2 linked regions of the Alligator mississippiensis genome follow. Each later gene encodes a partner of the first gene's protein in a complex. Links are inferred from orthologs where the notes say so. Each region holds a gene or a part of one and is shown in the gene's direction. Other genes may lie near its edges.

Region 1 (7,139 bases):
TTTCCTTCAAGCTCAAGCAGGATTCTACCAAGCTTTGCCTTTCAAGTGCAACTATCAATAAACCATTCAATGTATCATGTAACATTTGGATATATTGTGGAATTGCAGCCAGTTTTTAAAACTCAGTTCATGCACTCTCCATGTCATGGTATGGATACCTGGCTGACATAAGGAAGCATGTTAATAGAAAGTCCAAAGCATTCATCCTCATTCATAGTAGAAAAGACTTCCAGGTACATCTATTCAGACCAATGGAAAGATTAATAGGATAGGCACATGAGTACCAATTGTTACCTTCCACAATTCAGTTTCCAGATGTTCAAAATCATCCTCTAAATTAACTCAGGGTTATCAGTGAACTCAGAGAGGGTTCATCTAGTAGTTATATCAGCAAATTCTGTCCCCCAGTCAACAAACATTCTGTATTTTCTTATCCAACAGTGGCTAGATTTCTAAAGGGTCTTATGAAAGTCTACTCCCAGTTCTTCTTTATTTTATACGGAGACCAAGCCTGCAGACATGCATTAAGCATTGTCTGAGCACTTATAGCACACTGGGCTCACCAGGTGAACTAGATAGGGGAAAATACCTTATTAAGAATCCCAGTTGGTCTCGGGTATGTGCCGAGTTGCTCAACCCTGATGTGCGAAGCAGTTCTGACATAGCATATAGGAATATTTACTAGTAAAATCTTAGTTATGGAATTAAGTAGTTTGCCCCTGCCTCCTTTTAGAGATTAGGCCCTTAATGCTTTACATTTTTAAAGAACTAAAAAAAATATTCTTTTGGTTGGGCAATAGCTATTGGTGAAAATACAAAAACATATTATTGTGCAACTGTACTGTCTTCTGTTTTGATCTTGTCAGATCTCAAAAAAAAAGGTGAAAGGTGTTCAAGGAATGCTTGGGCACTGAAAGAAATTTCATTGTGATTCATTAAGCGTAGCTCTTCTCTTTAGGTCATACCTCAATGATACATGTGCACAGTATGCTACTACTACTAAAGATGTCATTTGTAATACTGATTACTCTTGGTTATTAGATCTTAAAGGAAATACGTGTATGGGTTGGTTTTAACCTTGGTTTCTTGGACAAAGTTCAGTTCAGATTAATTACATATTTATGTCTTAAATTCTTGCAGCATCTCCTAGATTTTCTATTTCCTGTTGTGTAGCATATCCTCTACCACAGAAGTTTACCTATCTTGTGTTATCCCCTACCTACTTTGCATTAGGAAGGTATTTAAGTAATTTTTATAAAATACTCTCTTCAGATGAAAGCCGTGGTGCAAAGTATTGTACATACTTCAGTAACATCAAGTAGGCTGCTTATATACCACCTATCCTGAGTAGCAAGCTTTAGGTTCAGCTAAAAGCACCAAATGAAAGAAATATCCTTATAAAAAAAATATTTGGATTCATCAACATACTCAAAACAAAACATTGCTCTCTAATGAAAATTGGTTCTCTACTACATTCTGTTCTATATAGGTTTTCATTGTGCTCATCACTAGAATTTGTGCAGCTTTCAGCAGTGCATTAAGTAGTTACTGAAATGTTAGAGCTGCTGGACATGTTATTCATCAGATTTATTCAATATTTCAATGTATTTATTCTGATAAATCATTCTTGCAAAGAAAAATTAACCAGATGATAAATATAGCACAAAATCGCTGAGCAATTTCAAAGATAGATTTGAGTAAGAGACCGACCTCTAAAAGTTTCAGAATTGTCCTAATACTCAGCAAAGTAAAAGGTACAATCTCTCAATCTGAGCATAGAAAATCCCCTACCTATATCTATCTACCAGTCATAGTGATATCCTTTTTGTACTAGAACAGTATATTTTTTGCAATGGATCTGTTTTCCATCACAAAAACCCCAAACCATCAAACAAGTTCTTCAAACTCATACTGGTTTATTAAACTGACAAAGTTTTTTTTGTATTTTTCTTATATTTGTAATTACAGCACAAAAAGCTCTAAGGCCTGGCTGATAAAGAAAAAAGGGTAGATTTGATTTAAAATATCAGTTTTAAATCAGCAAGCAAGAAATCTTGATTAAAATCATTTTCTATTTTGGTTTGTGCTTTAGTAGTTTTCTAGATTTGATTCTCACTGGTAAAACTTCATTCTTCCTTTGTCTAATTAGGAAGAGACACTGTGTCTATTAATATTAGCTCAACATCCTTTTAGTCAGTCTTACTTTTTACATTTTTAATGCTCAAAAATAGTGATTGATGCGTTTCTATTTACTAGTGATGACTGAATTCCCCCCAGCCCCACAACCACTTGTCATCAAGCTGTATCCAGATGCAGCCTGGAAGTCAACATAAAATACACAAAAACATAATTTTAGGGATATTTCTTATGCTTCTGGGCTTTGCTGGTTGCCCTTGCCTTGCCTCCCTCCCTGCCCCCCCACTTTTTGCTACATGTGTCAGGGCATTTTTAAGCCTTCCCAGATGTACCAGGTGCTGGCTACAGCCAAGGCTGGGGACCTTGACTCAGGTGTGCCAATGCTCCTGCTGGGAGCCAAGCCAGAGGTTCCTGGGTAGAGGGTCTTGCCCCTCCCCTCAGGGTCAGACCGATGGCCATATATGGGGTCAGGAAGGAATGCTTCCCCATGGTCAGATTGGTGCAAACTGGGGGGGGGCTTGCTTTTTGCTGTAGTAGGGGCCTGGCCCTTGAAGCAGAATCTTTTGAACATGCACTGAAAAGCATTTCATAGAACACTGGCTGCTGTGGTTTTCCTGCTTTAGCTGTGGCAGGTTAGGGGGTTAAGTCTGTGTTGTGTCAGGACTGACAGGATAGTTTTATGAACAGTTTAGATTATGATTTGTATAGAATGGTTTGGATAGAGATGATCCTGCCTCAGGCAGGGCTGGACTAGGTGACCTCTGGAGGGTCCTTCCAACCCTGCTGCTCTATGATCGAAATTGGTTTTCCTGGGGTTTTTTTCCTACTCTTGCTTCATTATTTTTTCAACTTTGAATGAGCTAAGCACCAAAACATTGGCAGAATAAAAACGTTCTCTCTACAGCTACTGCCGCAGAAGACTAGTTTCGTGCTTCCACAGACCACATTTCCAGGCGTTTAAGCAATGACTTCCACAGATTCACAGACAGCATGAGATCATCGGGTCCAGCCCCCCTGCTCTGGGCAGGAAAGACTGCTGGGGTCAAATAACCCCAGCAAGGTGTGCATCTTTTGAAGCTCTCCAGGGTAGGTGCTTGTACCACCTCTGCTGGGAGTCTGTTCCAGAGGCTGGTTACACAAACCATGAAGAAGTTCTTCCTTATATCCAGACCTGTCCAATTTTTTTTCTTTTTAAATACCAGCAGCAAAGCCCATTTACATTTAAAATGTGACACATTTAAACCTATGGTAGTTGGGAGGCTGAGGAACCATTCCCTCCTGCCGTGAATGCTTTCATGGGTAAAAATGGATCTAGATCCTAATCAAGTTCCAATCCTGCCACGGACTCTGGTGAAGCGGGGCAGCCGACTGCTGCCTTTCCCGGCCCGTGCTCCCTGGGCTGCCATAGCTCCGCCGGGCTCCCTCCTGGTAGCCCGAGCCAACCAAGTCCGCACGACGCCCCGGAGCCACTTCAGCGCGGGGGGGAGGGGACCGAGGGTTGCGGCCGCCCCGTGCAGAGCGAGGGGGCGCCCGGGGGCTGCTGCCGGCCGCTCCCGAGGAAGGAGCCGCGGCCGAGTCCTCCCGCCTGCCGGGAACAGGAGAGTCCCCGGGCGGGCTGGGGCGCGGGAGTCTCCGCAGCCGCCCAGAGAGTGCCCCGCCAGCGTCCCGGCCCAGCCTGGGGCAACGCGGAGCCCCAGCGCGGCTCCGCCGCCAAGTGCGCCAGAGCCGCCCGGCCCCAGGCGGGGAGCGACTGACGCCATTTTCTCCTTTCGAAGCCTCTTGCGCCTCCACCGGGGTAATCTGAGGTCAGGGCAGCGCGGCGCTCCACTGCGCCTGCGCGCGGGGCTCGCCGAGAGAGAAGCCCTGGCTGCGCCTGCGCAGCCGCGCCCCCCGGGACAGGGAATCACCGGGCCGGCTGCAGCTGTGCGCTGCGGCCGGCTGCGCCTGCGCACTGGCGGCGGTCGGGGCGCGCGGGCCCGGCCGCGGTCGCTTGCAGTGCGCGCGGGCGCACGCGCGGTGGCGTGAGGCTCCTGTGGCCGCGGCCGCTGTTTGCCGGCAGTTCGGGTGGCGCATGCGCTCTGCGGGCGGCTGAGGGACTGGCAGGCCTGGCTGCTGCTGCTGCTGCGAGAGGAGGCTCCGGCTGCCGGTGGGTCGGCGCGGCGCGGCGCGGCGCGGCGCGGCGCGGGGAGCCGCTGCACTGCGGGGGGCGGGTGCGCGGCGGGGCCGCCCCGCGTGGCGGCTCCCCTGGTCCCGGCCCGCGTTGAGGAGCCATTAAAGTTTGACAGCCCGGCGGCGGGAACACGGGCGGCGGCGGCGGGCGGGGAGCACCGCGCCTGCCCCCGGGGCCGGGGTGCTTCCCTGGATGACCCGTTAGGCCCCGCGACCCCCCGGCTCGTGTCCCTGTTGCCCGGCCGCCCTTCGCGTCGTCCCGCTGTTTGTGGCCGAGCGCGGCCGCTATCCTGGGCCGGGGCCGCTCGAACCGAGGCCCGGGGTCGGGGCTGCAGCGGCGGAGGTGAAGCGCGTTCTCTTGCCGGCGGGCGCAGCTGCGTCCTGCGGGGCGGGGCCGCTCGGGGCCACCTGTGCTGCTTCCCGCTCCCGCTGCCCCGGGCACAGGGCTTGGGGGTCGGGTCCTGCCGGCGGTCCGCCCGGGCGAGGACTCCGTGCGACTCGTGTGTGACGGGCCCCTGGGGAACGGGCTGTGGTGGGGTGGCAGGACCCGGACCCTTTGCGTGCGACGGGACGGGCCAGTTGGCAAAACGCGTCGCGTGCGCCGCGCTTCACTTCAAAGCACTTTTCCTGTATTTTTGTATTTGTTGGAGGATTTTTTGCCTCATCCTTTTATAGCGTCCAAGCAGAGAGACTGCTTCAGGACGTTGAAAGGTGACTCTAGAGCATGTTTGTTAGGTTCTTTTAACTTTTCAGACGCTTACTGAGAGAGACTGAGATGCGCTTGTGTGCATGGTGATGCAGTGTTTCCTGGGGAGGGGGAATTGCTTTGCCTTGTTCTAGATTGGCATGAACAACAGCACATACTTCTAATAGCCGGGATGAATCTTCCTGCAGCCCGGCCTCATTCACTGCTCCTTTCTGCTGCCTTACCCATGTGTGCCAAGAAGAATAAGTCCCTGTGTTAAGTTCTTCCATTATGCATAGTCTGTTTATATTTTCCTCGTTGTAAATTATATTCTTAGGACTGCTTAATCTCCCTCTGGTGGCTGATTGAAGATTTACAGCTCTAAAATGTAAATAAAGACTATGGGAGGCTGGTTATCATTTCAAACTTTGCTCTAGGCTTATGTTCCGCCTCTGGCACTGCTTCCTTAAGGTCTGTGGGATTCTGTGCAGAGATCCACTTCGTGTAGGAAACAGTGCTCATCTTATGAACATTTTTGAGAATTTGAATTTTCTTCCTGCTCTAAAATAAGACAAAAAAATCCCCTTCAATTTTTTGCAAAAAGAGAGGGGAAAAAAAGGCCAGCTTCAGTTCAGGGACATTCAGTCAAAATGGGACATTTTAGAAAAAGTGCTTTGAAATTGTCAGAATTTTGTAAGTGGAGACAGATCTCTTCATGTGGACAGTTTTGGCCTTGATGAATTGACATTGTCAGATGAGAAATGTTTTCTCTGAAAATTTCTAGTTGTAGGGTACTTTGCATTGTATAACCTTACCTTTTGAATTCTTTTTCTCTAGGTAACGAGTGATGTGTAAGCCCATATCCTTCATCTGTATATTCATAATGCACAGATTTTTTTTCAAAAGGGTTTTAAGAAGCAATTAGAATAATGAATACACTTCAGCGAGGTCTGCCTTGAGAAATCTAAGTATTCTTAATATGCAAATATGTTGCCACTGGAGTGTTGACCATGGGGCTCTTCTATTTCCTGTATAGCTTTGAGAGAAGCATGATTGTGTTATGCCAGTTGTCATAGGTGCTCTTGTATCTGACTGATCAAGAGCAAATCTTCATAGGTTGCTGTCAGGATAGTATTCTGCTTTGGCTTGAAAATGAATGCTTTAATATGGCATTTGAAAGAGAATGCCTGCAATAGTGAGGGGCAGAAGCAAAATTAGATCATTGTTTTAGTAACATTAGGCTTGGACATTAGAAGAGTTGGAGTGAAGAAGAATATGTGGTTAGTGCTCCAGCTTAGTTTAACATATTGAATTTAATTCCCAAATGGGACCCTCAGATTCAGGAAAAGTGAATAGTTACATCATCAAATTCTCCCTAATACAGAACTGCATCTGTATTTCAGTGACATACAGCGTTCTTATGTTTTAGTTTGAATTTTAAAATATTTTGGAGCACAAAGGTATGAAGTGATTTTAGTGATGTCAGATAAAGAGTTTTGCTTGTGAGGCTTTATATTTCCCTCGTTCAGTGATGATTCATATTTCCGTTGGCTAGGCAAAGTTTATTTGTTTTTTTGTTATGTTATCACCATAGTAAATGAGAGTAATTTGGTGATAAATGCAGTTACACGCTTTAGGTTTCAGATCACTTTGATATCTATAGTTTCATTGCTTGTTTGTATTCATTTAGATATGAAATACAAATATTATTGATTCGTTTTTTTCTGTTGTTTAAATTTAGCAGCTTCAATATACATGCTAGTAGGCAGGATATGGTAACTTTGTGACAAATTACTCAACAAGTATGTTCTAATAAACATTCAAAAACACCAACTTGATCTGATTACATTTGCTTGTGATTGTAGAGTAATACTTAAACAGGTTATTATTTTCCTTGGCATTTGGAATATACTTTTATTTTTAAATAACTGTTGCCTGTTTCTCATAACTTAATTTTTTCTGTAATAGAGATTAAAAAGACTTTATTGGAAATGTAACCCCTTTTTGTATTAGAGCTGTGTATCTTCCTGAAACCTCAGATATTTGGAAGACTTTAGGCTTTAAAAATTGCCATAGTGTAGGTGGGGTGGGAAGCACCACAAAATTACTAAAGTTGCCCAGCATTTCCTGCTATAAGTCTCTGTTTTCA
Region 2 (7,264 bases), about 140 Mb from region 1:
CCCTCTCAGTCTTCTTTTCCTCAGGCTGAAGAGTCCCAGATCCCTCAGCCTTTCCTCTTATGGCTTGCCTTTTAAGACTCTGACTATACGGGTGGCTCTTCTTTGGACTCTCTCAAGCTTGTCCATGCCCTTGTTAAAGTGTGGTGCCCAGAACTGGATGCAATACTCCAGCTACGGTGTCACCAGTGGTGAGCAGAACAGAAGAGTCACTCCCATGGCTTAGCAGGAGATGAATCGATTGATGCATGCCAGAGTATTATTTGCCCTACTGGCTACAGCATCGCACTGCCAACTCATATTCATACTGTGGTCTATTATTACCCCTAGGTCCCTTTCATTTTTGGTGCTAGACAGTTTGGTGCTGCCAAGCCTGTAGGTGTGTTGGGGTTGCTCGTCCCAAGGTGGAGCACTTTGCATTTCTCAATGCTGAACTTCATTGGGTTCCAATCCGCTCAACTTGCTAGCCTGTCTAGGTCCACCTGTAACTGAAGCCTATCTTCAAGTGTGACCATGCTTCCCCATAACTTGGTGTCGTCCATGAACTTGGCCAGTGAGCTCTTCACCCCCACATCCAACTCATTAATAAAGATGTTGAAAAGTACTGGACCGAGCACTAACTCCTGTGGGACACCGTTGCCCTCTTCTCACCAGGATGACACAGATCCATTCACTACGACTCTCTGGGTCCTATCCTGGCAGTTTCTCACTCACCTGACTGTCTTGGAGTTAATCCCACAATCCTCTGATTTTCTCATGAGGACATCATGGGATACTAGATCAAGTGCATTTTGGAAGTCTAGGTAATGAATGTCAACCTGTTCTCTCCTGTCCAGGTGATGATTTACCTGGTCATAGAAGGAGATGAAGTTGGTAAGGCAAGACCTGCCTGTGATGAAGTCATGCTGGCTGTCTTTTAGAATCTTACCTTCTGCAAGCTTATCACAGATAGACTCCTGATGAACTTTTCTAGGACTTTCCCTAGGATGGAAGTTAGGCTGATTGGCCTACAGTTACGTGGGTCCTTCCTCCTGCCCTTCTTGTTAATGGGCACAACTTTGGCCCTCTTCCAGTCCTCAGGGACTTCTCCAGAGTGCCACAATTTGTGGAAGTGTTTTGCCAGGGTTTCCACAATGACTTCAGCCAGCTCCTTCAGCACTCTCAGATAAAGATGACCTGGTCCTGCTGACTTGAATACATCTAATGTTATTAATTGGTCATACACCAATTCTACGGCAATAGTAGGAAGGTGATTATTCATATCTTGCTCATCCTCTACTCTACCTGGTGTGGTTTTCCTCTTGGTCTGATGAAAGACCAAGGCAAAGTAGTCATTCAGGAGTTCAGCTTTCTCCTGGGTGCTGGTACCCAGCTCTCCTGAGTTGTTGAGCAACGGCCCCACACTCCCATTCGTTTTCCTCCTGTTCCCTATGTATCTAAAGAAGGACTTCTTGTTATCCTTGGTTCCTGTTGCTGATCTAAGTTCGCTCGCCGCTTTAGCCCGTCTTATCTGTTTCCTGTAAATGCGGGCTGTCATGGAATAGTCCTCCTTGGGGCCTGCCCTGAGCTTCCATTGTTTATAAGCCTCTTTCTTCTTTCTTAAGACGACTGTGATTTCCCTGTTTAGCCAAGACAGCTTCCCAGCCCTTCTGTTTCCTGTTCTCCGCATGGGAATGGACTTCCTTTGGGTTTCAAGGATCGTGTCCTTAAGGAACAACCACTCTCCATGCACACCGTTTGTCTTCAGTCCCTGATCCCGCAGCACTTGCCCTACTAGTGACCTATGCTTGTTGAAATTTGCATTTTTGAAGTCCAAGACTTCAATCCTGCTGTCCGATTTGTCTGCCTTACGTCGGACAGTGAACATGATGGTTTCATGATCGCTATCGCCCAGACTTCCCACTACATTTAAGTCGGTCACCAGGTCGTCTCCTCTGGCCAGGACCAAGTCTAGAAGAGCATCACCTCTGGTTGGCCCATGCACCTCCTGAGTAAGGATGAGCTCCTGAACACAGGTCAGGAAGGAACGCGACCAATCCAACTTGGCTGAGTGTTCCTCCCAGGAGATGTCTGGATAATTAAAATCGTCCATGATGACCATGTCACGTGCATGTGCAGCCTCAGTCAATTCTCAGATGAACTCCAGATAGAGTTCCTCCCCCCAGTTTGGTGGTCTGTAGTAAAGACCTACAGATAGGCTTCTCTTGCCACGCCATGCTACGACCTCCCCCCCGCAACTTGACCCAGAGGGTTTCAAGCTGTCCATTTTTAGAGCCGATGTCGGCATTCAAGGAGGTGTATTGCTCTTTCACGCAGAGAGCAACAACTCCACCTTTCTTCCCTGCCCGGTCCCTTCTACGCAGGGTGTAATCCTCTATCTATAGCTACACTCCAGTCGTGAGGAGTCCCACCAGGTCTCCGTAATCCCTACTAGATCATAATGCACTCTGGAGAGTAGGAGGGCTAGCTCCTCCTGCTTGTTCCCCATGCTTCTGGCATTAGTATATAGGCACCTGCATCCTCCTACTGAGGCCCTTGTCTTCCTGTCCCGCTGATGGAGAACTATTCCCTCAGCTCCCACAACAGTGGCTCTCCCCATGTCCCTATCTACAGGGCTTACTTGTATGTTGGTATATCTTTTTTTACTACTTATCCTGTTGCAGGGTTACCACTTGTATAAGATCATCCTGATTTTAACCAGGGGAATTCTGAATCCTCTTATAAGCCACTTGTAGGCAAGGTTGCAAACTCTTCAAACCAAAATCATAGAAAGCAGGCGTTGATGTTGCCATGAAAAATATGTTCTTTGTCAAGTGGAAATAACAATAATGACGCTGAGGTAATGTTGCAATTCAAATTTAGTGATGTGATGTGATGTGATGCAAATTAATGTCAGACAAACTTTTGATATAGTGATAGGATGTGGTGTGACAGGATATGCACGATAAGGTGTTGAAATGATGTACCGTTGATTATTTGGTATAACGGCACTACAGTGCAAACTGGATGTGACACAGCATGGAAATGCAACACTATTGCAACTGTCTGCCTTGCAGTGGGTCCCCTTAATGAGCCACAGTTGTGGCGATGATGCTATTGTTTTAAATGACTTGGAGCATGTTTAAATTCAGACTATGAACTGGAGCAGCGAGTGGCTTTGCGCTTTAGATGCTGTATAAATGACAACACTGCATCAGGATTAGGGTTGCCAACCCTCCTGGATTGCCCTGGAGTCTCCAAGAATTAAATATAAATCTCCAGAAGACTGCTGAGAGCCACCCGGAGATAAATAATAGGGCATTTGTTAAAATACATATTAAATGTTGAATCAGATTTATACAGCAGTCCAGTAGGTTTTTAAAATGTAATAGTAATGTGAATTTGCCCCCTGATATAAAGTCTCCACACTGTAATCTGTAATTGATATATGCAAGCAGACAGGCACATTTGCGTTGTGTGTCGCAGGCACGTTGGCATTCTGGAAAACTGCTGGGATGGATTCAAACAGAGCTGGCGACCCCAATCAGGATGCAACAACTTTTCATGACTATATGGTGGAACGATGGAGCTTCCCAGTGGCAACCAGGTGTGACACCAGGAGGCAGTGATGCTGCTCTGTCACAAGGCATCAGCCTGCCACGACCACACTGCACTGGTCTGCGGGTACGAGCTCCCCCATCACAGTGCAAGGCCATGATGGACCATTAGTGACTCCACGGTGCAGAACAGGGAGAGGTCACGGAGCTGTTATGACGTGAAAGGATGATGTAACACCCCCGGGCAAGATTATGACGTCCTGTGGCACTGCCTCGCAAGAGCAGGGAGTGGCAGCGTGACGTATTCGAACTACCCCGCGGCACGCGACGGTGACGTAGCAGGGAGGATGACATTACATCGCGCAGGGAGGCAATGACGGAGTTACCAGTGGTCATGGCAACAGTGCGTTGGACTTAAGACGCGCGGAAGGGGGGCTCCCACCATGGCGCCCCCAGGCGGGGCGGAGGGATCCATCCGGGTCCCCTCGCTCCTCAGCGTCGCGTGCGTAAACCCAGACAGCTGCTCCGCCCTCCCGGCTCCGCGAGGCGGGAGTTCAACCCCAAGAACCGTTTATGATTGGCTGTCGTTCCGCAAAGGGGGGTCCGGATTGGCCGGCGGGGGAGCGCCGAGGCCCGGCCGCGATTGGGCGCGGAGCTGGGGCAAGCGGCTTGCGCATTGGCCGAGAGGCGCGTTCGGGCTCGGGCGGGGGGGAGCAGCCATTGGCTGGAAAGTAGGTTAGTGGTGCGACGTTCGGTGGCAAGCCAGGCGGAAAGTAGGTCAGGGACGGGGGGCTGCGCTGGGTGTTGCTCACTGCATTCGGCGGGTAGCGGAGGAGGCGGGGGCCACGCGGGGCGACCACCCCCGCCCGCTCGGCCACGGTGAGGCGGGGGCTCGGAAGGGGGTCGCGCGCGGAGCGGGAGGCGGAGGGAGCAGGGGTTCCTCGAGGGCGCCTGCGGCCGTTGACCGGCCCCACGGCTGGCCGCGCTCCAGGCGCGCTAGTGTCTACGCGGGGGGAGGGGCGGACCCCGTGCGCGCAGGTGCAGCGTTCCCCCCCTTCGCCCCCTCCCCCCGTCCGAGCCCCGGGCCCGCGGATGGGCGCGGGCATAGTCCCCCTCCCTCTGGGCTGCCCCCCCCCCCACCCCGGTTCGACGGGGGGCGCTGCGGCTCTCCAAGCAAGTCGGCGATGGGCTCTGCATCCGCGCCTCGCTCGTTTGGCAGGGCCTGCTCAGCCCACCCCTCTGCTCGCCTCCTCTTGCTTGATTTATTTTATATTCTTTTAGTTTACTTTATTTGATCATTTTACTTTATTATTCTTCAGCAATTGGTCTGTGACCTGTAATGCTTTTTGGGTGTTGTGTGAACAGGTTTGAGATGGGACAGTGCTTGGGCCCCAGGCAGGACTGACACACAACCTGCCGCCCCCCCCCCCCCCTCCGTGAGAGGAGCTGTGTGGCCTGCCCAGCTTTGCTGGCGTTGGTTTTCTTGTTGTGTTTCTTTTTTTCTCTCTCTTTTTAAGAAGTGTAGCGGTGGTTAAGTACAGGCTGGATGTTGGCTGGTCAGGATCTGCCTCTCTGGCCCCTGGAGATTGCGTCTTGTCCGTTCGAACTCGTGCTGCAAACTGCGCTGTCAATTTTCTTTTCAAAGCTCTGTTCCCCTCTAGACATTATAGACTGGGTCATGGTGGGATGCTTTCAGCTCAGAACTGCATGTCCTTTGGTGGATTGGAAAGTACTTTTCCTGCCCAGGAGTCAAATTGCAAGTGTTTTGGGGTTTTTTTGTTTTTGTTTTTTGTCTCTTTGAAATCTGGCTTCCTCTTTATGCCTGGCATGTGCAAACTGGTGGTACTGGCAGCTCACAAAAGGCATTGAAAACCCAACCTTTTTTTCTGTAATGTTAAGCATTAACACCGCTTGTTTGTGTGTTTTTTAAATTGGTGTCTTTAAATGAAGTGATCCACCTCTGGAGTAAGTTTTTTAAATTAGGTTGTGTGGGAATGCAGTTGTATGAATTGAGGCAAATCAAAATAACCCTTATAAGCATCCAAAGCTGCATTTGTCAGTGAATGTCCAGAATCTCCCTACTTGTTTAAAATAGGTCTGTGCTCTTTCTTGTTCCTAAACAATTAATTGAGTATTTCTCATAACCACTAATGATTTTATGTCTGTCTGTAATGCAGTCTCCAAGTGTTGCTGCTCTAGGTTGTTATGGTGTGCTTCTACACCACTAGTACATGCTTCAGACCCTGCTGGGAATGCTCAGTATGTTCAGGGTCTGGAAAGGAGCTGCATACAGAGACTGGATAAACAAAAAGGGAGTGGAGAGGCTGGAATGACGTACGTTGCCCCCTGGAAAACCTGTGGACTGTGTCTTTTGCCTTGGGGTCTTGTGCAGCTGCAGATCCTAGGGTCAGCATTACTGTGGAAGTGCAGTACCTGCTTGCAAGTGGTATTAACTTCTCATTGACATTTGGGAATCTGCCAAGTTTGGAAGAAGCCCCATGACTCCTTAAAGGCTGAATCAAGAAGCTATCCACAGATGTACTTTAACAGAGATTTTTGCCTCATGCATCTGCCCCTGGATGTTCTTCTGTTAAGGGTTACCTGGTCAAAAGCAGTCGGGGTCCCAGACTGAAGGAAAAGCTGATGTTCCTTGGGGTAGGAGACAGGAATGCTGGACATCATGGGTTCAGTTTGACTAGGATTAAAAGTATGTTAACCACCACACCTTAATTCTAATAAGAGACGAGCTCTGTGATGATAGTACAACTTGTACTTCTTAAGTGAGTTTTGAAACATGAGGTTTTTAAATAGGCTTATGCTTTTTTTTGTTTGCAAAACCTTGCTGCATGTGTTATGACCACTAATGAGATACATTCAATAACCTGAAATATTGTCTACATGCAGAGTTTTTGCAAATTAATTAATTTTAATTAGTTAATTTAAAATGATTAGCATAACATTGAAGCTGGAAAGTAAGCACGAGTGAAGTAAAGACCTTGATTGCAGGGTTGACACTCCGTTGCTATTTCCCATATGTCATACTTTTAAATGTTACTGCATAAAGTCATGTCTTTGTCAGGAGAACTGGAGCACTGCACATGTGGCATGTTAAGCTTATGTTAGGTTTAACTTTTTGTTGTCTCTGGTTTACCTGCTTACTTGTCAGTCTTGAACATTTATTTATTTGGGTGCATTTGTATTTCCTTACAGTAAGGAGAGTAGGCAAAAGCAGGCAGCCATATTTACATGTACTTAAAAGTTTTAAAGTCACTAAGGAAGTGTCCCTAGATTGCATTCAACCCAGCCTTCTCTAGGAATCTGAGTGAATATACTGACTTAAGCCATAACTTCTTACTAATATTCAATTCTTTCTCCTCCAGTTTGGGTAGCTGCTTCTTTCTTTAAGGCCTAAATAGCTATGGACATTTTACAAGTCAATTTAAAATGTCTTTCACTTTGAGCTTGCATAATAATTATTTTTGTTAAAATTATTAACACATGAAAGGATATAGACTGAAATGCAACAGCTCAGACTGAATTCATAATTATTTAATAGTGTAGGTCATGTTCTGAGCTACTGTGGCAGGGTTACCCCTTTTAACTTAGGCCAGATTTTCTGAGCATAGTTAAGTGCTTTAGAAAAATGCCTCTGTATCTAAACCCCTCTTAAAAATCTGTCCTTGGGTCTGCTCCACTCTCGGAAGCATATACTGTCACTTTTAGACCAAATC

Evidence for each region. Proteins that work in one complex are often made in the same cells at the same time.
Region 2: the proteins of CLOCK (region 1) and BMAL1 are in contact, whole or in part, in a crystal structure (PDB 4F3L), measured with the Mus musculus proteins. The link is inferred for Alligator mississippiensis from reciprocal best matches to the Homo sapiens genes CLOCK and BMAL1. Residues at the interface, in NP_001276755.1 of Mus musculus: Arg46, Gln49, Phe50, Leu53, Ile54, Glu56, Leu57, Met60, Leu61, Pro62, Lys70, Ser71, Leu74, Gln75, Ser77, Ile78, Phe80, Leu81, Arg82, His84, Lys85, Thr88, Glu95, Ile96, Gln98, Asp99, Trp100, Pro102, Phe104, Leu105; in XP_030097882.1 of Mus musculus: Lys70, Met71, Phe74, Ile75, Glu77, Leu78, Ser80, Leu81, Val82, Asp93, Leu95, Leu98, Arg99, Ala101, Val102, His104, Met105, Lys106, Leu108, Arg109, Gly110, Ala118, Tyr120, Lys121, Pro122, Phe124, Leu125, Asp127, Asp128, Glu129.

What each region holds. Positions count from the first base shown.
Region 1 is NC_081825.1:60,495,574-60,502,712, reverse strand, and holds the start of CLOCK (circadian locomoter output cycles protein kaput), read left to right. Parts: upstream 1-4,135; 5' UTR 4,136-4,282; intron 4,283-7,139. UniProt on the Homo sapiens protein: Transcriptional activator which forms a core component of the circadian clock.
Region 2 is NC_081825.1:201,878,064-201,885,327, forward strand, and holds the start of BMAL1 (basic helix-loop-helix ARNT-like protein 1), read left to right. Parts: upstream 1-4,249; 5' UTR 4,250-4,268; exon of another isoform or gene 4,269-4,306; intron 4,307-4,312; exon of another isoform or gene 4,313-4,412; intron 4,413-7,264. UniProt on the Homo sapiens protein: Transcriptional activator which forms a core component of the circadian clock.